Linked DNA regions of Macaca fascicularis. The protein of the gene in region 1 purifies or fractionates together with the protein of each later gene. This does not show direct contact. Links are inferred from orthologs where the notes say so. Each region holds a gene or a part of one and is shown in the gene's direction. Other genes may lie near its edges. The genes, in order: MAGED2, C1QBP and GNAS.

Evidence for each region.
Region 2: the proteins of MAGED2 (region 1) and C1QBP purify together in Homo sapiens (affinity purification with mass spectrometry; 3 studies listed by BioGRID and IntAct, counting the BioPlex papers as one, with this or other methods). This does not show direct contact. The link is inferred for Macaca fascicularis from reciprocal best matches to the Homo sapiens genes MAGED2 and C1QBP.
Region 3: the proteins of MAGED2 (region 1) and GNAS purify together in Homo sapiens (affinity purification with mass spectrometry; 3 studies listed by BioGRID, counting the BioPlex papers as one, with this or other methods). This does not show direct contact. The link is inferred for Macaca fascicularis from reciprocal best matches to the Homo sapiens genes MAGED2 and GNAS.

What each region holds. Positions count from the first base shown.
Region 1 is NC_088395.1:54,793,986-54,802,274, forward strand, and holds the start of MAGED2 (melanoma-associated antigen D2), read left to right. Parts: upstream 1-4,005; 5' UTR 4,006-4,068; intron 4,069-4,633; exon of another isoform or gene 4,634-4,689; intron 4,690-5,326; exon of another isoform or gene 5,327-5,478; intron 5,479-5,557; 5' UTR 5,558-5,586; coding exon 5,587-5,631; intron 5,632-5,971; coding exon 5,972-6,463; intron 6,464-7,090; coding exon 7,091-7,399; intron 7,400-7,519; coding exon 7,520-7,583; intron 7,584-7,843; coding exon 7,844-7,923; intron 7,924-8,289. UniProt on the Homo sapiens protein: Regulates the expression, localization to the plasma membrane and function of the sodium chloride cotransporters SLC12A1 and SLC12A3, two key components of salt reabsorption in the distal renal tubule.
Region 2 is NC_088390.1:5,495,792-5,502,776, reverse strand, and holds the end of C1QBP (complement component 1 Q subcomponent-binding protein, mitochondrial), read left to right. Parts: intron 1-1,649; coding exon 1,650-1,743; intron 1,744-3,598; coding exon 3,599-3,694; intron 3,695-3,948; coding exon 3,949-4,071; intron 4,072-4,126; exon of another isoform or gene 4,127-4,206; coding exon 4,207-4,356; 3' UTR 4,357-4,588; downstream 4,589-6,985. Other genes in the region: RPAIN (RPA-interacting protein), read right to left, coding at 4,791-4,820.
Region 3 is NC_088384.1:114,960,142-114,968,319, forward strand, and holds the end of GNAS (guanine nucleotide-binding protein G(s) subunit alpha isoforms XLas), read left to right. Parts: intron 1-69; coding exon 70-167; intron 168-3,843; coding exon 3,844-3,898; intron 3,899-4,031; coding exon 4,032-4,105; intron 4,106-4,202; coding exon 4,203-4,261; intron 4,262-4,365; coding exon 4,366-4,486; intron 4,487-4,632; coding exon 4,633-4,763; intron 4,764-5,018; coding exon 5,019-5,086; intron 5,087-5,356; coding exon 5,357-5,503; 3' UTR 5,504-5,866; downstream 5,867-8,178. UniProt on the Homo sapiens protein: Guanine nucleotide-binding proteins (G proteins) function as transducers in numerous signaling pathways controlled by G protein-coupled receptors (GPCRs).

The sequences.
Region 1 (8,289 bases):
CTAAGCAATCCTTAGCCTGCCTTTCCTTATCTCCAGAACAGAGCTGCCTGATAACAGCCTTTCATCTTTCCTCTTAGTTGATATGTAGGATCTATATGATCTCAGATATTTCTATACTGATCTATGGGTGCTAGAAATGGGCCTGAGACCCAGTGACCTAGGTTCTTCAGAGTTTATGGGTGGATGATGAAGATCAAGATTCCAAGAGTTCACAAGGAGAAGGTGGGAGGAAATCTCTCTGGTCAAAGGGTAAAGATTATGAACTAATTTGTCTTTTCTCCCCTGATGAGGTTGCCTCCTGCCCTCTGATCCCCAGGTCATAAGATAAGGGTGTTAATGGTATTATGTTATGAAGGTGGTGGAATTGAGAGGGGTCTGGGGAAGTTTGGGTTTGACAATCTTTGGGAATGCCTCTCTGATAGATTTGGACTGAGATTTTTCCTGACTTCCTGAATCCAATAATATCTCCTAAGGTTCTGACTCTGTATTCCTTTAAGTTACCCCAGGATCCCAAAGACCACAAGTGGGACCGAAAACATTGTGAAACTTAAAATGTTGGAGGTTGTAACCTAGCGTAGATATACCAGAAGTGTAGTTGTAACAGAGGGTCTTCCCCATGGGGACAAAATTGCTTAACAAAGGCTGCTAGGCAAGAGAAGGCAGGGCATATCTGGTAATAGTGAAGTGTTCTGTTTAGGTGGAATATAGGCAACTATATCTAGTACTTTCAGAAAAACAGCAGGAAAAAGGCTGGAAACTCAGTCAGGGCTGGATTTTGGGAGAGCCTTGAAATCAAACTCAAGCGTTTCTTGGGAAAGCATTCCATACCCATTGTCATGAATACCTCACCTGCTATTCATATCTCAACTCACTGTAATCAGGAAACTGCTGCATGGAATAGACTCTGAAATAACAATGGCTTAAATAAGACATATATCTATTTGCCTCACCTAAAAGAAACCCAGAGGTAGGCAGTTCACGTTGGCTTCATGAAATTGTTATGGATCCAGGTTCTTTTTAGTTTATTAATCCAGTATCTTTAGAGTGTGACCCTAGTCCTCATGGCCTTTATTCTGGGAGGCTATGTATCTAGCTAAAAATCAGATGGCTTATTACTAAGGAAGAAGAAGAGCATGGATATCAGGGTAAGCAATTAGCAATCTATGCCACAAACATGTGCACTGAAGCTATTCCTTCCAAGGTCACCAGAGACCACCACTTGATCGTCAGAATCCCCAGACATTTTTTCAGGTCTTACTTTTCTTGATTCTTGGCAACATTCATCACTATTGACCTTGACTCCTCCCTCCTTTTGAAACAATCTCTTTCCTTACTTTTGTGACACTCCTTTCTCCTTTTTTTTTTTTTTTTTTTTTTTTTAATGGTGTCTTGCTCTATCACCCAGGCTGGAGTGCAATGGCACAATCTCGGCTCACTGCAACCTCTATCTCCCAGGTTCAAGCTATTCTCCTGCCTCAGCTTCCCGAGTAGTTGAGACTACAGGTGTGCTCCCCCACACCCAGCTAATTTTTTGTGTTTTTAGTTGAGATGGGGTTTCACCATGTTGACCAGGCTGGTCTTGAACTCCTGACTTCAGGTGATCTTCCCACCTCGGCCTCCCAAAGTGCTGGGATTACAGGTGTGAGCCACCACACCCGGCCCTCTCCTGTTTTTCTCTCTGCCTTTTTGGTCACTCCTTATCAATCTCTTTCATGAGTTCCTTTTCCTCCACCTATACCAAAGGTGCTTTTGGGCTGCAGGGCTCTTCCGTGGGCCCATGTCTCTTCTAGCACTGTGCATTCACCAGGGTGCTGTTGCCCTTTCTCATGAATTAAAGAACTATTTATGTACTGATGACTCCTAGATCTATAGCCTCAGCCTAGACCACTTCTCTGAGCTTCAGACATGTATATTCAACTGCCTGTGGTACATTTCCATATGGACATGCCACAGGTGCCTTAAAAGCAATGTTCAGTTCTCCTCTAACCTGCTCCTCAAACCCGCTCTTCCTTCAGTATTCCTGATCTCAGTGAGAGGAGTTACCATTCACACAATCTCTCAAATCAGATCGCCAAGAGTTCCCTTTGACACTCCACTCGTCTTCAGTTACTCAAGTCCAATTACTTTTTACTTCTTTACTATCTCCTCGATTCAATCACTTCTCACTACCTGCCACCACTCTAGGTCAAAGCACAATCATTGCTTACCTAGATGACTACAAAAGGCATAAGTACTCTCCCTGTTTCCAAGACAACACCTATTCCATACTCCATATAGCAGCAAGGTGTTCTTTCTAAAACACAAACCTATGCTGTATCCTTGCCTAGAATCCTTTAATAACTCCTGGGTGTTCTCAGGATCAAGACCAAAGTCCTTATCTTGGCATTCAAAACTTGCCAACTTGCCACGATTTGGAAGGGATTGGGAATTTGAGATGCCAGAAATAGAAGAAAAGGAGGCGCTATGTCTAGTGTGGATAAGGGAGAAAATCTGGGAGGCAAGAACATGGTGAACTGATATCACACACTTGGAGAAAGCAACAATTCAGAGAAAGAGAAAAGACAGGAAAACAGAAGCCTGCCTTGAATATGCAAGAAATTTGTGTGTGTGTCTATCTTGAATTATCCATAGAACATAGGGATTCATGATATGTTATTTACACAGTAAAAGGTGACCACATAAAGCAGGAGACTTGTGTCCATTTGAATTACATTTATATGTGGAAAGGCATTGAATATTATTTCCACAACTAACCGTTGTGCTGAATTTTATTATGGTTTCTAATAACTTTTTAGTTGATGCTCTTGGGTTTTCCAGGTCTGCATTTATATATCCAGTAATTAATGATGATTTGTCTACTTCCTATTATTTTACATCTTATTTTGTTTTCTTGAATAGATCCAATTGCTTATGTGAATTTATTATGTGATAGAGGTGCCATTTCAAAGCAGAGAGGGAAAAGATGGATTAGTTTGCACATGATGTAGGGGTAAGAGACTATGATTTTGGAGAGTAATCAAGCTGAATCCGTATAGAAAATAAATTTTGAAATGATCAAACATCTAAATGTAAATAATAAAGCCACAAAAGTGCTTCAAGGAAAAAAAAACGGGGATTGTTATAGGAACATGAAAAGCATCTTTAAGCAAGCAGCAGGATCCAGTTGTGATGAAGGAAAAATGGATATATTTGACTACATAATAATTAAACATTTTTGTTTGGCAAAAATTATCATAAATAACATGAAAAATATTTGTAATATGTGACACGTACACGAGAGACATTGCTGGTGGGAACGTTATTCCATGTACTTTTTAGGAGTAAGTTGACAAATTTTGTATCTTTTGTTATCAAAATGGAAGACGTTTTTGTAGCATTTGAGCTAGCAAAAAATACCCTAAATAAAAAAAAAGTGCCCCAAACAATCTAAATGTACATGTGTGCTGGACTGGTTCAATAAATTATGGGACATCTATACAAGAAAAGATCATGCAACTGTTTAGAAAAATGTGCACTAACGGAAAGATTTTTTATATATAACTGGAAAAAAACAGGTCGCAGAACAGAAGGTATGTATAGTGTACCATTTGTCGGAGAGAGAACCTGAATAATTAGTATACGAATAGAAAAAAAATCTGGATAGCAAAATGTTAATAGTGGTTATTTCTGGGAGATAAGAGTGGCCTTTCATTGGTATGTTATATATTACTGCATTGTTTTAATTTTTACAACAACAACAACAAAACAACAACATATTACCTTTGTAATAAGAAAAAATGAAGATATAAAAAGAAATTCAATGAATGACTTTCTTTCGGGGGCGGTTTGGGTTGGAAGAGTTTCAGACTGAGCCTGGTACAGTGGCATAAACATGGGCTTTGGCGTCAGACAGCCCTGAGCAGGGCCCCATTGCCCCACCCCCGAGGAAGGCGAGGGGGGGTGGCAGGGGGCTGCGGAAAGGGGCTGGGCTGGGTTGGGCTGTCTGCAGCTCTAGTCCAGGAGGCTGAGACTTCGAGAGGGACTTAGAGAAGGCAGACGCATCCCGAACTCGCTGGAGGACAAGGTGAGGTGCGTTGAGATTGGGGTTTTATGGAGGTCATAGAGTGGTTCCAGACCCCTCGAACCCATAGCCAGGCAGATGAGCAATTCTTACTGCACCACTGCAGCTGAAGCAGAGGTGACCTGGAGTGGTGTGTAGGCAATGAGGACGACTGAGAAAGTGGTAGGCTGTATAGACTGGGAGCAGAGACGAGCGGAGGAGGAGGGGAGAAAAACGGGGAACCAGGAATGTTGGGAGGGGGACGAGGAATACAAGGAGGGAGGGGAACACTAAGGGGGAGTGATCCAGAGAAGAGAATGGGGATGCAGAGAGAGGTTAAGGAATACTGAGGGGCAGGGTGTGCAATCGTAACACGGAGGAGGATGTAAGGAATGGGAAGAGGGAATTCTGGAGTAAATAGAAAATGTGAGGTGGGAATAGGGAGTAAGGAGCCAGGCTAAGGGAATACGGAGGGGGGCATAAGGAATGAGGAGCAGGGAGCGGGGGAGGGGCAGACAGGCTGGGACGGAGGCCCCCTAGGGAGGCGGAAAGGGGCGGGACCACTTCCGGCCTAGAGAAGGGAGGGCAGTCTCTGAGTTTCGGAGGGGCTTGGAGTGAGTGGACGCTCTCGGGAATTGTAGGAGGACGAGGTGAGCAGCCGGGCGGGCTTTTGGATGAGAGCCCCGCTAGGGGTCGGCCGCACCCTCTGGGATCTGGAGAAAACCTGTCATGAGGATCGGATCGTACCGGATCCATCCGGCTGGGAAGGGAGGGGACTGGACCCGGTTTGACCGGGCCCAAGATGGAATCACTAGCTTAATATTTATTTGAGGAGGGGGTGTAATAGGGAAGGGGCGGAACCAAGATGCGCCTGTTTGGAGGGGGGCGTGTTAGGAAGAAGGGCGGGGCCAAGAGACACTGGACTCGGTAGGGCGTGAGTAGGGGAGGGGCCGGGCCCACCAGACACTGCGACAATTTTGGAGGAAGGCTTCTTGGGCAGGGGGCGGGACCGAATGGTACTGCGGACCTGGAGAGGGGCGTGTGTCGGGGCAGAGTGCCAGACTGAGACCACGATCATTGCGCATGCGCACTATGTATCGCTGAAAGGGGCGTGTTGAGAAGGGCCAGCACTGAGACGAGCCAGCTGCTGAATGCGCATGTGCACGGTGGACATCAAAGAAAGGGCTCGTGCTGGGAAAGCGGGCGGGGCTGAGAGCGGCCCTGCAGCCGACGCGCATGCGCTCTATCGACCTGCGGCTGGGTGGGGGGTGCACTGGGAAAAGGGGCGGGGTCCTCAGAGCTGCCGCGCTGGCACATCTTCCTGGAGAAGGGGAGGGTGCGGCTGCAGACAATTGAGACTTAGAAGCTTTGGATTCCTGTATCTGAGAACGGAGTCGTTGTGGGTGGTGGAGGGGGTTGGAATTGGGGACCTACGGAAGGTAAGGATCAGCCTCCAGGCACAACAGGGGAGAGGACGTTCAGTGGGCTTCAACTTGACCCAGGCCTTCTCCTCTTCAGGCTCAGCTCTTGCCAGGCCAAATTGAGACATGTCTGACACAAGCGAGAGTGGTGCGGGTCTAACTAGCTTCCAGGTAAGGCCTCTTTCTGTCCTTTCCCCAGCTGCTTTTCCTCTCCAGCCCTTGTTGCTGCCCTAAGTCCCTTGGCTCTTCTCCTCCCATCCTTGTCCTTCTCCACCTACTTTCCTGCCTGGGTGTCCCCCTGCCCAGTGGAGGGAGGGAGAGAAGGTGGGCGGGCCCCTCTTCTGCCTTCAGTTCTTGCTCAGAGGAAAGGGAGGCCTTGTTCGGCTGAGGTGGTCAGAGCACACCGCAGGTACGAGTACAGGTCAGAGAAGTGTGGCCTTGGAATTTTGGAACCATTTGCTTAGTTGGGGGTGGGGAGAAGGTCTGTGAACTTCCCTGCTTCCTCTTGCAGGCTGAAGCTTCAGAAAAGGACAGTAGCTCGATGATGCAGACTCTATTGACAGTGACCCAGAATGTGGAGGTCCCAGAGACACCGAAGGCCTCAAAGGCACCGGAGGTCTCAGAGGATGTGAAGGTCTCAAAAACCTCTGGGGTCTCAAAGGCCACAGAGGTCTCAAAGACCCCAGAGGCTCAGGAGGCACCTGCCACCCAGGCCTCATCTACTACTCAGCTGACTGATACCCAGGTTCTGGCAGCTGAAAACAAGAGTCTAGCAGCTGACACCAAGAAACAGAATGCTGACCCGCAGGCTGTGACAATGCCTGCCACCGAGACCAAAAAGGTCAGCTGTGTGGCTGATACGAAGGTCAATACTAAGGCCCAGGAGACTGAGGCTGCTGCCTCTCAGGCCCCAGCAGATGAACCTGAGCCTGAGAGTGCAGCTGCCCAGTCTCAGGAGAATCAGGATACTCGGCCCAAGGTCAAAGCCAAGAAAGCCCGAAAGGTAAGACCTCTGCAGTCACCACCCTTCGTTTTCTACTCCTCTCCTCTCAGTTGGTTCATTTGTTCTACAAACATTTCGAAAGATCCCTGTGCTCATCAGGGCTGTGGGGGGCACTGAAAGTAATGTGATGTAATTCTTGTCTTCAGAGAGCTTGCAGACTGATGGGGAGATGAGACAGGAATACACATAGCTGCAATCTGAATATAATGCAGTTTATATTTACATAGTAGCTGCCCTGTGTTAGGCCTTGAGCTAAGCACATTTATGCAGGTTATCTCATTAAATCCTGAAAGTAATTCTCATAGCCCCAATTTTATAGAGAAGGAAGCTGAGTTCCAGAGAGGTGAAGCAGTTTTTCTAGGGATGGTTCAAGCAGAGCCAGTAGTGGGCACAGAAAGAGAAGAAGACTCAGCCTCCACCCACCCTTGGTTTGCTCCTGGCCTGCTAGGCAGATGAAACACTTGCTTGGAAGTCAGTGAGAAACAAACCCAGGGTTCAGCATAGCCAACATCTATTAAGTCGGGCTGTTACTACAGGGACGGGATTGGCGGGTGCTTCCTGGAAGAGATAGGGAGAGGAAAAGGACCACCTGTTTCATCTGGTGATGTTGAGCTTCTGTTGATGCAGGTGAAGCATCTGGATGGGGAAGAGGATGGCAGCAGTGATCAGAGTCAGGCTTCTGGAACCACAGGTGGCCGAAGGGTCTCAAAGGCCCTAATGGCCTCAATGGCCCGCAGGGCTTCAAGGGGTCCCATAGCTTTTTGGGCCCGCAGGGCATCAAGGACTCGGTTGGCTGCTTGGGCCCGGAGAGCCTTGCTCTCCCTGAGATCACCTAAAGCCCGTAGGGGCAAGGCTCGCCGTAGAGCTGCCAAGCTCCAGTCATCCCAAGAGCCTGAAGCACCACCACCTCGGGATGTGGCCCTTTTGCAAGGGAGGGTAAGAACTCTGTCCTTTTTACTCTGCCTTTTCTACTGCCTTGGCTGCCCTTTTCTTTGCCATCGTCTCAAGTTTTCAGCAAACTTGTTTTGGTCTTTCCATCTTTTTCTACTCTGCCAGGCAAATGATTTGGTGAAGTACCTTTTGGCTAAAGACCAGACGAAGATTCCCATCAAGCGCTCAGGTAAAGTCCTACCAATCCTCCCTCTACCCTAAGCTCTGCCCTCCATTGCCCTTGCATCATTGTGCTGGGGATATCTGCTGCTCTTATGCTTATATCTCTGTCCTCCCAAAGTTCTAATTTGGCAGTGCTAGCATCTCTGTTGATAAGCGCAGAACCTGGTTATGCCACCCTTGGTGTGGTTGGCAAAGAGTCTATAGCTTGGGCATCAGGGCCACCTGGCATCTCTTCAGTCAGGTGCTTACACCACTTTCCCCTTGCAGACATGCTGAAGGACATCATCAAAGAATACACTGATGTGTACCCTGAAATCATTGAACGAGCAGGCTATTCCTTGGAGAAGGTGAAGGGGCAGCCCTGGGGGATGGGCACAGTGGGGAAGCCTTGAATTGAACAAAAATGTGCAAGTTCCTTCTCAGGGGAACCAGAGAGACCTGCTAATCTAGCTCCATCACTATGCTGAGGGGCAGACAATGGCCTAGGGAGGGGTGTAGATGAGCGATGGGTCACACAGCAAGTCAATGGTAAAAGTACAGTTAGGACCCAAGGCACCCAACTTAGTCCTGGCTTCTGTCCACAGCTCATGCCATGTATTTCAGATTTCACCTCTCCCTTTCATTCCCCATTCTCTGTCTCCCTAGATTCCCACTCATCGCAAAGACGATAATGACAATAGTACATTTGCTGCATGTTTACTGGGTGCCAGGCA
Region 2 (6,985 bases), on another chromosome or scaffold:
CACGGTGGCTCACACCTTTAATCCCAGCACTTTGGGAGGCCGAGGCAGGTGGATCACAAGGTCAGGAGATCAAGACCATCCTGGGTAATGCAGTGAAACCCTGTCTCTACTAAAAGTACAAAAAATTAGCCAGGTGTAGTGGCGGGCGCCTGTAGTCCCAGCTACTCAGGAGGCTGAGGCAGGAGAATGGCATGAAGCCCAGAGGCAGAGGTTGCAGTGAGCCGAGATCACGTCACTGCACTCCAGCCTGGGCGACAGAGTGAGACTCTGTCTCAAAAAAAAAAAGAATTCTTTAGTTTTTCTGGGTATAGTGATCTTACCAAATTAATGATTTGCAAGTATTGTTCCCCATCTTGTGGGTTTTCTTTTCACTTTCTTTGTAATGCCCTCTGACACAAAAGTTTCTGATTTTGAGGAAGTTCAGTTTACCTATTTTTTTGGTTGCTTGTGCTTTTTTTAGTGTCACATCTAAGAAACCACTGCCTCGCCCAAGGTTGTGAAGATTTATGCCTTAATTTTTTCAGAGTTTTCTAGTTTTAGCTCTTAGTTGAGGTCTGTGATTCATTTTGAGTATGATGTGAAGTAGGGTACCAATTCTCTTGGCTATTGTGTAGTGTGGTTTTTCCCTACACAGGTCAATTGTGTCTTCTGTAATCTCACCTAAAAACCATTTGCACAAGGTTTTCATAGCTATTTGGGGGCCATTAAAAATAATGCTCTGACGAACATCATTCCATTTCTGTGCCCAGGAGCTCAGCTTGGTCAGCACAGTTGGAATCAGACAGATTGTGTCAACCTCAGACTGCCTCTGTTACTATGGAAAGGTGACTTCCTGGCAAAGCAGCTAGTTAGCACAAGTCGAGGGGGCGGTACTTCATGGAACTTGTATGGAACGGTGCCTGCCAGAGTTGCATAGTCCAGCAGTTCTGGTTCTAAACTTTATCTCCCAGGAATTTTGACTCAAACTTTGGGACATGATTTCTCAGGTGTGGATTCTTGCACCTTAAAATTGTCGCTAGTTGGTGTCTCTGGCCTGCTTTGTGATGATAAAACTTCCCACAAGTACTCTGAAGGATGACTGTCTACTACAGCCGTTTTTTTCTTTGTGAGGCATCCGCTTCCCGAGGCCAGGGCTGCTCTCCGTGTTTAACAGATGCAACCCTCCATTGCTCCTTCTTCCTTTCCTTGCAGGGCAAATTTTCTTATGGGGAAAGGCTCTTAAAGGGGCTTCTGTTCCATCTCACCAGCCTCCCAGGTCCTTACTTTCACCAAGGGTTCCTTGGAAAGACCAGGGTGGGCAGTGTCAGCTGGCTGTGGCCATGAGATGCCCAGTCAACACATGGCAGTGAGCCCTGGGGTACTGGCCCTGTTGGGAGTAACCCATGCATGACTTGTTTGGCTGAGATAAGCTGAGGCCAGCTTTGGCTTCCAGCAGCTGGTACATGGTAGGCACACTTGAGACCTGCTGAATCACTCAGGACTGGATGTAGGTACCAGCCTTGTTTGAAGTTCTGCATATAATTCAGCCAGCTAGGATAGAGACATTGTTTCAGTACACCTTTGTAACTGTAGCAGACCTCCCTGTTTGTGTGTTAACCTACTCAGTTAAAATGATGCCTTGTCTGTTATGTTTTCTCTTGCCCTTTTAGAATCATTGTCACTTTCAACATTAACAACAGCATCCCACCAACATTTGATGGTGAGGAGGAACCCACGCAAAAGCAGAAGGTTGAAGAACAGGAGGTAAGCTTAACACTATGATCAGCTTTTACCTCAGTTCTGACAGGCTGTCCCTGGGACTTAAAGAAGGAGCGTTTTTCTTTGCTCTTTAAAAAAAAAAAAAATTTTTTTTTCCTCTAAGGCCAGGCGCTTGGCTCACGCCTGAATCCCAGCACTTTGGGAGGGCAAGGTAGAAAGATCCCTTGAGGCCAGGAGGACCAGCCTGAGTAACATGGCAAGACCCTGCCTCTACGAAAGTTTAAAAAAAAACAAATTAGCTGGGCATGGTGGCACGACTGTGGTTCCAGCTATGCAGGAGGCTGAGGCAGGAGGAATCAGTGGTTTCTGGCCAGCTTTAACAGGACTGTGGCCCTCTTCCTTTTCCCAGGGGCAAAATACGTTGCTGTCTGCCAGCTCAGGCTTAGTGGTTTGGCTGGAAAGGAAATGAAATGTTCTCAGCCTTTCCCATGATAGGGAGTTTTGTTGTTTTTGAGAGAAGGTCTCGCTCCATTGCCCAGGCTGGAGTGCAGTGGCACGATCTCTGCCCACTGCAGCTTCCACCTCCCACGTTCAAGCGATTCCCCTACCTCAGCCTCCCCAGTAGCTGGGATTACAGACATGTGCCACCACACCTGGTTAATTTTTGTATTTTTAGTAGAGACAGGGTTTCACCGTGGTTGCCAGGCTGGCCTCAAACTCCTGACCTCAAGTGATCCAGCCACCTTGGCCTCCCAAAGTGCCGGGATTATGGGCATGAGCCACCACGCCCGGCCTATGGGGAGATTTTTTATATTGGAGGTTATCATTTGGTGTGTTTGCATGTGCGGAATGTTCCTAACATATCAGTCACAAGCTGGTAATACACAACAGCCATTTAACCAAGATAAGAATGCCAGGGGCAGGCTAGGTGTGGTGGCTCAAGCCTGTAATCCCAGCACTTTGGGAGTCCGAGATGGGCAGATCACAAGGTCAAGAGATCGAGACCATCCTGGCCAACATGGTGAAACCCCATCTCTACTAAAAATACAAAACTTAGTTGGGTGTGGTGGCAGGCGCCTATAGTCCCAGCTACTCAGGAGGCTGAGGCAGAATTGCTTGAACCCGGGAGGCGGAGGTTGCGATGAGCCAAGATCACACCACTGCACTCCAGCCTGGCAACAGAGCAACACTCTGCCTCGAAGAAAAAAAAAAAAAAAGAATGCCAGGGGCATAAGAGACTTTAACTGGATCATGCCTACTCTTCAGACATTTTAGGAAGTGCTGTGCCCAGCCTGGTAACCAGCCAGTACGAGGGCCACAGAGTCCCTAGACCTTCTGCCCAAAAGCCATCAGTACAGTGTTGGGTCATGACCTGGTGTGGATGGCACAGCTCTCTGGTGTGCTTCTTTCCCAGCAACCCCAACTAGCATCTCTCTGACATTGGACCCAGTCTGCTCCCAGAGCTCCACATCAGAGGAAAAGCTGCTGCTGTTATTCAGCCATAAAGATGGCCAGGTTCCCCAGCCTTTGACCCTGGTCCCTTTTGAAGACTCCTGGAACAGTCAAGCTGGAATCTTGAAACTTTAGGAAAGCTTTGCAGTGTATGGGTGGAGGAAAAGGCTTGGAATGTTAAGGAACTGATATAAACTCAGTTAATTGGCACATAGCTGAGGCGGCTGGTATCCAGATTTCTTAATTGAAAATCCAGTGTGTTACTTAAACAAGCAGGGTGCCAACAGAAGTGAGATCAAGCTCTTCCTTTGGGAATAGTATGGCATAAGACTATTAAAATGGCTACATAACATCCTAATGGTGGCTCTGAGAAATCTGAACAGAGATCCTTGATCCAGGCATCCATCTCCTTCCAGCAGTGGCATGTACTGACTTCTTGTTTTCCCAGCCTGAACTGACATCAACTCCCAATTTCGTGGTTGAAGTTATAAAGAATGATGGCAAGAAGGCCCTTGTGCTGGACTGTCATTATCCAGAGGATGAGGTATGTAGGATGGAGTGCTAGCCCCTTGGCACCCCTGGGGAGCACAGCGTGTCCCTTGGGAACTTCCTGTCCCTTTTAGCATAAATTTAAAGACTTTCTAGCTTAGACCAGCCCAGCAGGGGGAGAGGGGAGGGGAGTGAGGGAAGAGGGTTAAAACCTGATCAGTTTCATGCTGTCAGCGGCCCCCTTTCTTCGCATGAGTCTGGCTTATCCTGGAGAACCCTTCAGTTTCCCCAAATATTGTTTCTTCTCAGGTTGGACAAGAAGACGAGGCTGAGAGTGACATCTTCTCTATCAGGGAAGTTAGCTTTCAGTCCAGTGGCGAGTCTGAATGGAAGGATACTAATTACACACTCAACACAGATTCCTTGGACTGGGTGAGTGCTTGATAAGATGGGGGAACCTTTTGGGCCGTGGAAGGAAGGGTCCTAGTTCAAGGGGAGAAAGAAACATTTTAATGTTCATTACAGATTTTTTTTTGTTTTTAAACTAGTAAATGTTGTTCTTTGCAGGCCTTATATGACCACCTAATGGATTTCCTTGCGGACCGAGGGGTGGACAACACTTTTGCAGATGAGTTGGTGGAGCTCAGCACAGCCCTGGAGCACCAGGAGTACATTAGTTTTCTTGAAGACCTCAAGAGATTTGTCAAGAGCCAGTAGAGCAGACAGACGCTGAAAGCCTTAGTTTCATGGCAGGCTCTGGCCAGTGAACAAGTCCTACTCTGAAGCTAGACATTTGCTTTGAAATGATTATCGTCCTAATATCATGGGGAAAAACACCAAATTTAAATTATATGTTTTGCGCTCTCATTATCATTTTTCCTGTACAAATCTATTATTTCTAGATTTTTGTATAACATGATAGACATAAAATTGGTTTATCTCCTCCAAAGCAGTGTATCTATTCTATTCCTCCCGCTTCAACCTGCGTCACAAAAGACCAAGAACAGAGATGTCGGAAAAGTTTTTTTTCCTTCAGGATCGGTTAAAAGTTTCGATACAAAATAAGTTATAAATAAAAGGCTTGTATGTCCAAGGCTCCTCAGGGAGTGAGTGGTCTTCAACCCGTAGAATGATGTGAGTCCACGCTGGCTCTAGAGGATCACAGCCCAGGTATCACAGGCCTAGGTTTAAACAGGAGAAGAATTAGCTTAAATTGTATTCTAGTCATGAAAGACATGTGATACATCGTTAAAAGTTGTCATCAATGAGAATGCTACACATTAGATGAGGTCTCCTGAGTCCAGTTTGAATTAGTTAGGTCGTGTAATTTGTCATGAAGGCCACCGACGACTGCCCCTCTTTGGCTTTGCTGGACCTCTGTCCTGCAGCCTTCAAACAGCTGTCTGGAAACCGTCAGCACCAACAGTCTTCAAGCTAAGATCAAATCTGCAGAGGAACTAATCAAACATCCTCACCTCAGGAAACTACTGACCACAAAGATTGTATGATTGTATTCAAACTCTTGGTAGCTTGGAGCTTTTAGAGCCTAGCAGGAAGATGAGACTCCAAGTCTACACAAGATTGAAGCAGGTACGTATCACAGGGGAGGTACCAACCATGCATGATCAGTACGGGCAGAAAACATGTCTTCCCCTCGATCTGTAATATGATCAGTAAGCACCTAAGTGTAAAACTGGCTCCCGACTCCTTGGTGGCTCAGCCCCTCCACTATGCTAAGGAATCATCTGTCCTTGAGCCATTTATGCCAGAGGTTGCAATTTTTTTGTGTGAAAAATCAGACCTCGGCGATGACCTTGAGCAGTAGGGGATCAATAACTCCCCCAGGCTTAGCGTTCCACTAACAAAACAGTAGGCATAAATAGGTTACCCTTGTTTCTTACCACTTTCACAGGTAATATATTTGGCTTTCTCTAAAAGACACTATAACCCTGCTAATAGGTAGTTTAGCATATTCTATCCCATGACCACCACCTGAGCACCGTCACATCCAAAATATTCCTAAGTCTTGTAATATAGTGCCATCTTCTGTAACCCATCCCTATTTTCCAACACATCCTCAGTCATCTGTGCTGAGCCTCCCTACATCCTGACTTCACTGAATTCTAACACAATGGTCCTTGAGTCCCCCTTAAGCGAAAACCAAAGGTCTAGTGGAACTAGAGCATTCCAAATGTCTACTTTTCCAAATGTTGAACTCGGAACCTACAGAATACAATTTTGTCTTTCCCCTTCCTGTTTCTTGTTTTTTGTTTGTTTTTTTGAGGCTCAATCTCGCTGTCACCCAGGCTGGAGCGCAATGGCGCCATCTCAGCTCACTGCAACCTCCACCTCCTGAGCTCAAGCCATCCTCCCACTTCAGCCTCCCACTGAGTAGCTGGGAGTACAGGTGCGAGCCACCAGGCCCAGCTAATTTTTGTATTTTTAGTAGAGACCAGGTTTCACCATGTTGTCCAGGCTGGTCTTGAATTCCTAGCCTCAAGTGATCCATCCACCTCAGCCTTCCTAAGTGCTGGGATTACAGGTGTGAACCACAGCGCCTGGCTGTGTTTCTCGTGTTTGCTGTGAACCCCGCCTCCCTCACCCCTTACTTACCCAACAATGGTCTCCCTGCCCGCCCCAGAGCCAGCACTGACAACTATGATCTCCAAGACTGCTACACAGCACTCACCTTCCAAACCTCACCTCCCACTTAGCTTCACTGCTGCTCTGAGCCACAGGACACTGACGGTTAGGTGAGTGGATAACTGGGGTCCATAATTATATGCTGAGCTGAAGCTGTACACATGGCAATTAGGCAATCTTCCGCTTACCCTTTAATTGCCCTTCTCGTCCACCCGCCAGCATTTGGTCTTTCACACTCAAGGGGACTTTCATACTTGAGGAGCTGTAGACTCTAGCTCTGCTACCATTATAATCTGTGTAGATGACTCACTGTTCACCTTACTAAGACAGAAGCCAAAGCCAGCTGACCTGTGCCCTCTTCAACTCTCCTCCCTCCACCTTAACTCATCTGTACAAACATATTAAGCACGTATTTATTAATATAGGCCAAGCGCTGGGAGTAGAAATAAATATGGGCCATGCCCTCAAGGACAGATATGGGCAGGTAACTGCAGCACTGTTATGGATGACACGGCATGAGGTATGGTGGAAGCCCAAGGAGACACTGGCCAATTCCCCTCTGCCAGCCCTCATTAGGTTTGTTGAAAAAGGGAACACAGACTCTAAAGGAACGGACTTCTCAGGCTGGCCAATTCTTTTTTTGTTTGGTTTTTGTTTTTTGAGATGGAGTTTCGCTCTTGTTGCCCAGGCTGGAGAGCAGTGG
Region 3 (8,178 bases), on another chromosome or scaffold:
TCGAATGACAGTGTCCTTGATTAGTTCAAGTTCTTGTCTTTCTCTCAACTTTCTTGTGTTCACTTTCAGGAATTCTACGAGCATGCCAAGGCTCTGTGGGAGGACGAAGGAGTACGTGCCTGCTATGAACGCTCCAACGAGTACCAGCTGATTGACTGTGCCCAGTAGTAAGTAACCCCACCCGACCCACCGGCACATAAAACAGGCAGACACAAGAAAACATGCAAACCTGTGATCCTGCTTGGAAAGCTACTTGTCGATGATTCCTTTCGTAGAAGCCAACCAGTTACCCCACTGGCAGAAAGTTCGAATCTGATTGAATTGTTTTATAAAGTCCTTAATTGCATTTTTTTTTTTTTTTTTTAGTGCAGGGACATTATTTTATATAAACATTGAATGTCTGTTAGAGCAAGATGATGATGAGTTTCATAGTATTCCTAATTACTGGGAAGTAATTAATTGAATTGACTCAAAGCATTTACAGAAATAGGGCAGTTCTCACATTTTGAATAATGTAAAAATACTACATTTTATTGCTGTAATTTTAAAACATAACAAAGAGGAACAGTGAAGACAGCTACGCCTCCTCTCTCACTGGTAGTTGTTGATTGCTCTATTTCTGCTCTCAGGTAAGAGACTCCAGTAGCTGCCTAGTGTTACTAGATCTGAGTGACTCTAGGTAGAGTTTGCTTTTGTGTTGTCTTGACTTTTGAACTCTATTTCATGTCCTTATTTATTCCTTCCCCCCGGCTCTTGATTTCAAGGATGGTAAGTAGTCAGTGTATTTTAAATCCTAAACTGTACACCTAAGCAGTACAGTACCGTGGTGGGGTCATTTTCAAATAAATTACTACCTGCAAGGAGGATGGGTTAAGGCCTGCAGTAGCAATGGGAAAGTCCTCTTTCTCCAAAGTCACTCATAAAGGTGGGCTCGCCTGCTTAGTGTGTTGGTAAATGAAGAAGGGGGAAACTTACGAAACAGATTTTATTGCACAACTCCACCTGATGCCCACGCTGCTACTCTTGTTGCCTAACACCTGACTTACCGTTCCCTCAGGGATTGCCTTCTGTCCCTGTCACCCACCATGGTCTCTCCCAGAGGACATCACACCCCATAGCTAGAAAGTTGCCTTTTAAATAGTTTATGGCCTCCCTCATCTTGCACATGATATAGCAAGCATATGGTGGTCAGGGTTATTTAAAAAATATGTAAAGATAATTATTATTATTATTATTTAGATGGAGTCTCACTCTGTTGCCCAGGCTGGAGTGCAGTGGTGCAGTCTTGGCTCACTGCAACCTCTGCCTCCTGGGTTCAAGTGATTCTCCTGCCTCAGCCTCCTGAGTAGCTGGGACTACAGGTGCCCGCCACCACACCCAGCTCATTTTTGTATTTTTAGTAGAGATGGGGTTTCACCATATTGGCCAGGCTGGTCTCGAACTCCTGACCTTGTGATCTGCCTGCCTTGGCCCCCCAAAGTGCTGGAATTAGAGGCGTGAGCCACCGCGCCCAGCCAAAAATGTAAAGATATCTTTTGTTTGTTGATGCTGCACAAATGCACAAAGCAGTCTCAGTTAATATTATGAAGTAGGAGTGTCTTGTGACTCGGGACAGGGGAGTCTAGTAGAGGTTTGATGTTTTAGCTGTCCTTATTACAAGTAGCTGAAACTCGGAACTGATTTTGCTATAGGAAGTATTAACTAATCAGAACCAAGGTGCCAGGCTGACTCACCAAGGGCTAAGATTGCTTTACTTAGTAGCCTCAAGCCCAAGGAACTGATTGTGAAAACCACCTGAATAAACAGGAGGGAGGAAGAGGTAATACTGTTTATCTATAAATCATATAAGCCTATGTTAGGGTCTGTGCAATCTATCAACCCCAGCCCTGCCTTCCCATAGGAAATTCCTTTGATTATTTTCAGTTGCCACATACACAGATATTCCACGGTTTAATATACAAGCAAATTTGTATATTTTTTCAAGGAACAGAAAAACAGTCCATCTTGGCTGGTCCCTGTGGCCCCCAGCCCCCACTCCTTCTTCAACAAAGTCCCTGATTTTCTCAAAAGTTCGAACTAAAAGCTGGAAGCGCTAATTATAGTAACGCAAAACAAATGGAAATCCTGGAATTGTTTGCATTTTGTATTTTGGATCCAAGTCAGAAGTGAAGTACAGGTACAAGATTAGGAGAGTTTAACCATCCCAGTTTTGAATGCTGGGGGGCAGGGAGTCACAGCTGCATTAATTAACAGTAGCTTAGCCAGGTGGTTGAAGTTTGTTGGGTTTCATTTTCTCTCTCAAATCATTTAGAAGTTTTTGGGGTTTTTTAATGCAACACTCAATTACTCCTGAAACTTTGTCTGAAAACTGCACCATTTGTATAGATCATGAAAAGTTGTAAGGAAACTCAGAGAAAAAGAGAACAACGCAGCTTAAAACCTTTAAAATGTCCTCCCTCACCGCTGGCTCAAACAGCCCTGCATCTGCCGTGGCCGGCACGTTTCTGTTGAACTGCCTTTATGTTAAAGTTGGGATACTGGTACCGTGCCCATTTCTTAAGCTGCCTATTTTTATTTGTTGAGCTGGGGTTTGGCTGGCTCCACTCCAGATGTCTCTCTCACAAGATTTGGTGCTGATGATCTATTTATAGAACTGTGGTTCTGTTGCCATGGTAACATGCTGGAGGCCAGGGCGGCTGGGGAGCTATTTCTGGACTGGTGCTGTAATGTAAGATTGATTGGGCAAGTTAGTATATCCTCTAAGCCAGACTAACCCTGAACTAGTAAAAAGGAAGAGGGGAACACAAAACTTAGGCAGTTTCTTGAAACAGACTTTTCTCTCTTTATGATTTTCTTTTCTCATTAGCCCACTTTAAAACAATTCCAATCTCTACATGCCTCTCCCTCCAAAAAATAAACTGGTTTTAGCATTTTCTGTATTAATTAAATTACCCCAATCTTTCAAAAGTAAATTTTCCTGTGTGTCTAGTCAAGCAACACAAACAAGATGCTTTTTAAATGAAAAGTTTAATATCTGGAGCGTTCTATTTCATGGACCAAACAGAACGGAAGAGAACTTTGTGTTTGTTTCCTGTTCAGGATGGCTAGGGCGAGAAGGCCCCTTTGTGCCAACCTCTTTTGTTCCCTTTAATCAATGAGATTCTTAAAAAGTGAAAAGGAAGGGCTATAGATTCTCAGTAACTAAAACAATCTCATGTGCCCTTGAGGAGAAAGTCCTTGATGTTTTTAAGAATGTCACTTTATTTATTTATTTTTTTAACTGAATGATACAGAGGTATACAATTTTCAAACTGCCATTTTAGGCAGGAAATTTGAAAATTGAAATGTTTTTGTCAAGCATTACCAAATGGCACAGATTGTGATAGGTCAGCCTGGTTTTGGGGTCCTTTCTCTACTGGTTGATATGCATAAAACCTTTTAAAAATCAAGAATATTACCAGAGAGCAACAGGAATAAACAAGCTAAGTAAAGAAGAAAAAAGAAAAATAGAAAAAAATAAACATGAAGAACAAAGCCCCACCACTGTCCTGTGCTGTTTGTGTGGCCCCACTGCACCGAGGCCACAGGCTAGCTGCTAGACGCATCTAGAGTTCCCTGATTCCTAAAATTATTTATCTTAAATCCCATTTGGCCTAACTTTCTTAAGGCATCAGCTTTGAGTTATAAATGTAACCAACACACAAGCAAATATGCCATTGACTTAGTGCTGCATAACTGTGGGACGGTCACTTCCGTTGAGCCTGACCTTGTAGAGAGACACAAATAGTTGGCAAATTAATGTGAACGCTGTGAACACCCCATGTGCCTTTCTTTTTCTCCCAGCTTCCTGGACAAGATCGATGTGATCAAGCAGGCTGACTATGTGCCGAGCGACCAGGTGTGCAAAACCCTTCACCACCAGAGGACCCTGAGCCCTCTTCCCAAACTACCCCAGACTTTTGCTTTAGATTGGAAATTATTACTATTTCGATTGGCTTTGCTGAGATCCATTGACCTCAATTTTGTTCTAGGACCTGCTTCGCTGCCGCGTCCTGACTTCTGGAATCTTCGAGACCAAGTTCCAGGTGGACAAAGTCAACTTCCAGTAAGCCCACTGTTACCTTTTTATATAACAGAGATCATGGTTTCTTGACATTTACCCCAGCCCCTCTGGAATAACCAGCTGTCTTCCTCTCCACCAGCATGTTTGACGTGGGTGGCCAGCGCGATGAACGCCGCAAGTGGATCCAGTGCTTCAATGGTAGGACGCTGTGGGCTTGGCTGTTCGTGAAGAACGCTTTGCTTCTGTGTTGTTAGGGATCAGTGTCGCTGCTCACGCTCTTGGCTTTGCTTTCTTTGGTTAAGATGTGACTGCCATCATCTTCGTGGTGGCCAGCAGCAGCTACAACATGGTCATCCGGGAGGACAACCAGACCAACCGCCTGCAGGAGGCTCTGAACCTCTTCAAGAGCATCTGGAACAACAGGTTTGTGGAGTGACCGCCCACCCCCTGCGCTTGCCCAGGAGGCCCTGGTCTGCACTGTTTGTAGAAAAGAACCCTGTGCAAGCATTCCAGACCCCTGGCCAAAAGCGCGCTTCTCCCGGGCATTCACACGGCCTCCCTTCTTGTAGATGGCTGCGCACCATCTCTGTGATTCTGTTCCTCAACAAGCAAGATCTGCTCGCTGAGAAAGTCCTTGCTGGGAAATCGAAGATTGAGGACTACTTTCCAGAATTTGCTCGCTACACTACTCCTGAGGATGGTGTGTATGGCTTCCACTCTTTTGCTGGCTGTTCATTGCAGTGGTTCTTTTTCAAACAGTCGGGCTGAAAGCCGCCATCCCCCTCCCACCACCAAACCATAAAGGATCTGTAAGAGAAGCAAGAAAAACACACTTGCATTAATTCTCATATGGAAAAATCAGGGTTTTGAAGACTTCAGGAGCTACAATGATGCTAGCACCCCAGCTCTGCTTGACTTTTTAATTACATTAATATATATTCCCTTTTTTTTATAGCTACTCCCGAGCCCGGAGAGGACCCACGCGTGACCCGGGCCAAGTACTTCATTCGAGATGAGTTTCTGGTGAGTTGAGCCTGTCTTTAGTTTCCTCTCTTGCTCCTCCTCTTTTTCTCATGGATGTAAATTTACTTCAGGGGTTCAGCTACCCAGGTCCATGGTTTTAGTTCACGCACATCCAGTGTGGATTTGAGTTCTTTGCACCCCTCCTTTTGCTTTCGTTTTCATATGACATCAGAGACTGGCCAACAGCCGTCCCTGGTAGGTGTCCCCATCAGTGATAGGGTGGTTCCTGGCGAGGGTGTCACTGACGAGTCCCTGCGTTTGTACCCGCAGAGGATCAGCACTGCCAGTGGAGATGGGCGTCACTACTGCTACCCTCACTTCACCTGCGCTGTGGACACTGAGAACATCCGCCGTGTGTTCAACGACTGCCGTGACATCATTCAGCGCATGCACCTTCGTCAGTACGAGCTGCTCTAAGAAGGGAACCCCCAAATTTAATTAAAGCCTTAAGCACAATTAATTAAAAGTGAAACGTAATTGTACAAGCAGTTAATCACCCACCATAGGGCATGATTAACAAAGCAACCTTTCCCTTCCCCCAAGTGATTTTGCGAAACCCCCTTTTCCCTTCAGCTTGCTTAGATGTTCCAAATTTAGAAAGCTTAAGGCGGCCTACAGAAAAAGGAGAAAAGGCCACAGAAGTTCCCTCTGACTTTCAATAAAAATAAATAAAACAACAGCAGCAAACAAACAAAATGAAATAAAAGAAACAAATGAAATAAATATTGTGTTGTGCAGCATTAAAAAAAATCAAAATAAAAATTAAATGTGAGCAAAGAATGATGGGACTCCCGTGAGTTATTTGTGGTTCTGCGCAGATTCCTGTCATTCATGGTTTGACTTGGCCCTTACATCAAAAGTTGGGAGGCCCCAAGGTGAAGTGGGTATAAAATCTCACCACTGTATGTTTTCTGGTGACTGTAAAATGTAGGTGTCTTGAAATAATTTTCAGACAATAGGAAAAGTCCACTCCTGTTGATCTCCCAAACTTTTACCCCATAGTGGACCACTATGCCCCGGTCACCTCTACATTTTGATCACTGCCATCCTATCCAAAGATTCTGCCAACTTATGCCATTACATCATCACACAGTTTGCCTGCTGACCCAGGCTTCCTAAGAAAAGTAGTGTATTTTTTGCTATAAGATAGGGACTAAATGATGTGGAGAAATATAGGAGCGCCGTGTTTCAAATCAATGGGGTTATTCAAGAAATGGTGTAGCCATTTGGGGAAAATTTAGACTGGATCCCTACCTCATTGCACACACCAAAATGAATTTGACAAGTTGATCACATACATCTAAATAAAAGACGTACTTTTTAAAGTGGCTATTTTACAGTTAAACTCTTGGGTTTATAAAGGGCCTCTCTGCAGCATAACCTGAGACCTAAAGGCCTTAAGGGGGTTGGGGATGACTACAAAAATGAAAATCACACTTCAAATTTGAATGGGGGAAGGGCCTGGGTTGGGTAAAAATTTAACAAAGGGTTTACTTAATAAGCAGAGTTTTTATGAATTAATAAGCAATATCATCAGAAAAATGGGCACAGTATATAAGCATGCAACTTAAATACAAATAGCTAATAAACCTCAGGATATGTGGACCATCACTCACAATATTCACTATAATTGGGAGTGAGGATGGGAGTCCATACTCAATGGGTTGGAGTGTGGCTTATTTCTGAGGTCCTGTGGGTTCCCTAGACTTTCACCCCTAGGCTTATCCCCCAAGGTGTTGTCACTTACGTGGTCACTTCCTGGGTGGCTCCCAGGAAGGGTGGGAGGAAGTGACCAGCATCAACGATGGTGCCCTCTGAAGCTGGGCAAATGGGACTTCAAGTTCATTCTGTAATCCAGGCCCCAAATCCACTTCCTATTCTAGTTTCCAGATCAAATTACTCTCACCCAAATTAATCATACAATATAGCTCACCAGAGGCGAGCGATGAGCCCCAAGGGGGGTAGAAAAGTAGCAAATACCTGCATTTCCATCCAATTTTTCACACAACATTCAGTCCACGTGTGCTTGCTATGCAGTTTTTAGTACAAAGCCCTCAAAACCCCCCAAATAAATATACAATCCAAGTAAAAATTGGGGCTTGCTATGCAAATATAACCAAAAGACTAGCCTACAAGTTCCCATAATCCTCCAAAGCACCCCAAATAAACACCTAAAACCTGGACAGTGGCTATCAAGTGCAACCACAAGACCAGCCCCTAGCTCCTCTTCCAAGATGGCCACCTGTATGCCCCTTTTGCACAGAAATTCTGGAACCGTCTAAGCATAATCCACATGAGATTGTCACAGCTCTAGCCACATATCCATCAAAATTAGAAAACACAAAATTCCCAGGCCATAGAGATGCCCAGGAAAATGATACCACAGAGCCCCACCTTGTTGGTCATAACTGACAGAGACTTCATGGTATCTTCTAGAAGAAAGGCCACAAAAGTCACAGTTATCAGGTATCTACTAGTGCTAGCCATTACCCAATGGGATAGGTTCAGCTGCTATTTTGACAGTGAGTAAACGAGGCCCAGAGAGGCCCCGAGAGAGGTCTCTAGTGAGAAGGGAAGATGGGCTTCAAACTCAAGTAGCCAAAGCCCACTGCTTGGTCCCTACAAGATACTGTTGTCCTGGAAGATGCAGGAGAAAAGAGAAAAAGGTCTCCTGGTGTTCTTCCCATGATGTCAGTTATCAGGAGTCCATGACCTGTGACCCCCGTCGAAAATCCTGCAGGTCACCATGGGATTCCACACCCAGGTAGTTGGGTGGGGCCTCTTCCCACAGACCGTGGCACTGGCCATACTCCTGCCTCCCTACCAGGTCAGGGCTCTGCCCTCACCAGTCACCCTGATGTGTTTGAGACTTGCTTCCCTGTGTTAGGGCTCATCACTGCTATTTAAAACAGTTTTGTTTTCCTTTTCCCTTTGCCCCTGGGACCAAGCAGAACTTCTACAGCTATTTTAAAATCTACATTTTAGGATCTTCAAAAACAAAACATAATAAAGAATTTCATCTAAATCTTTGATTACAAGAAGCCATTTTAAAAAAAAAAGTTTTTTTAATCGGAATGCCTGCAATCCCAGCA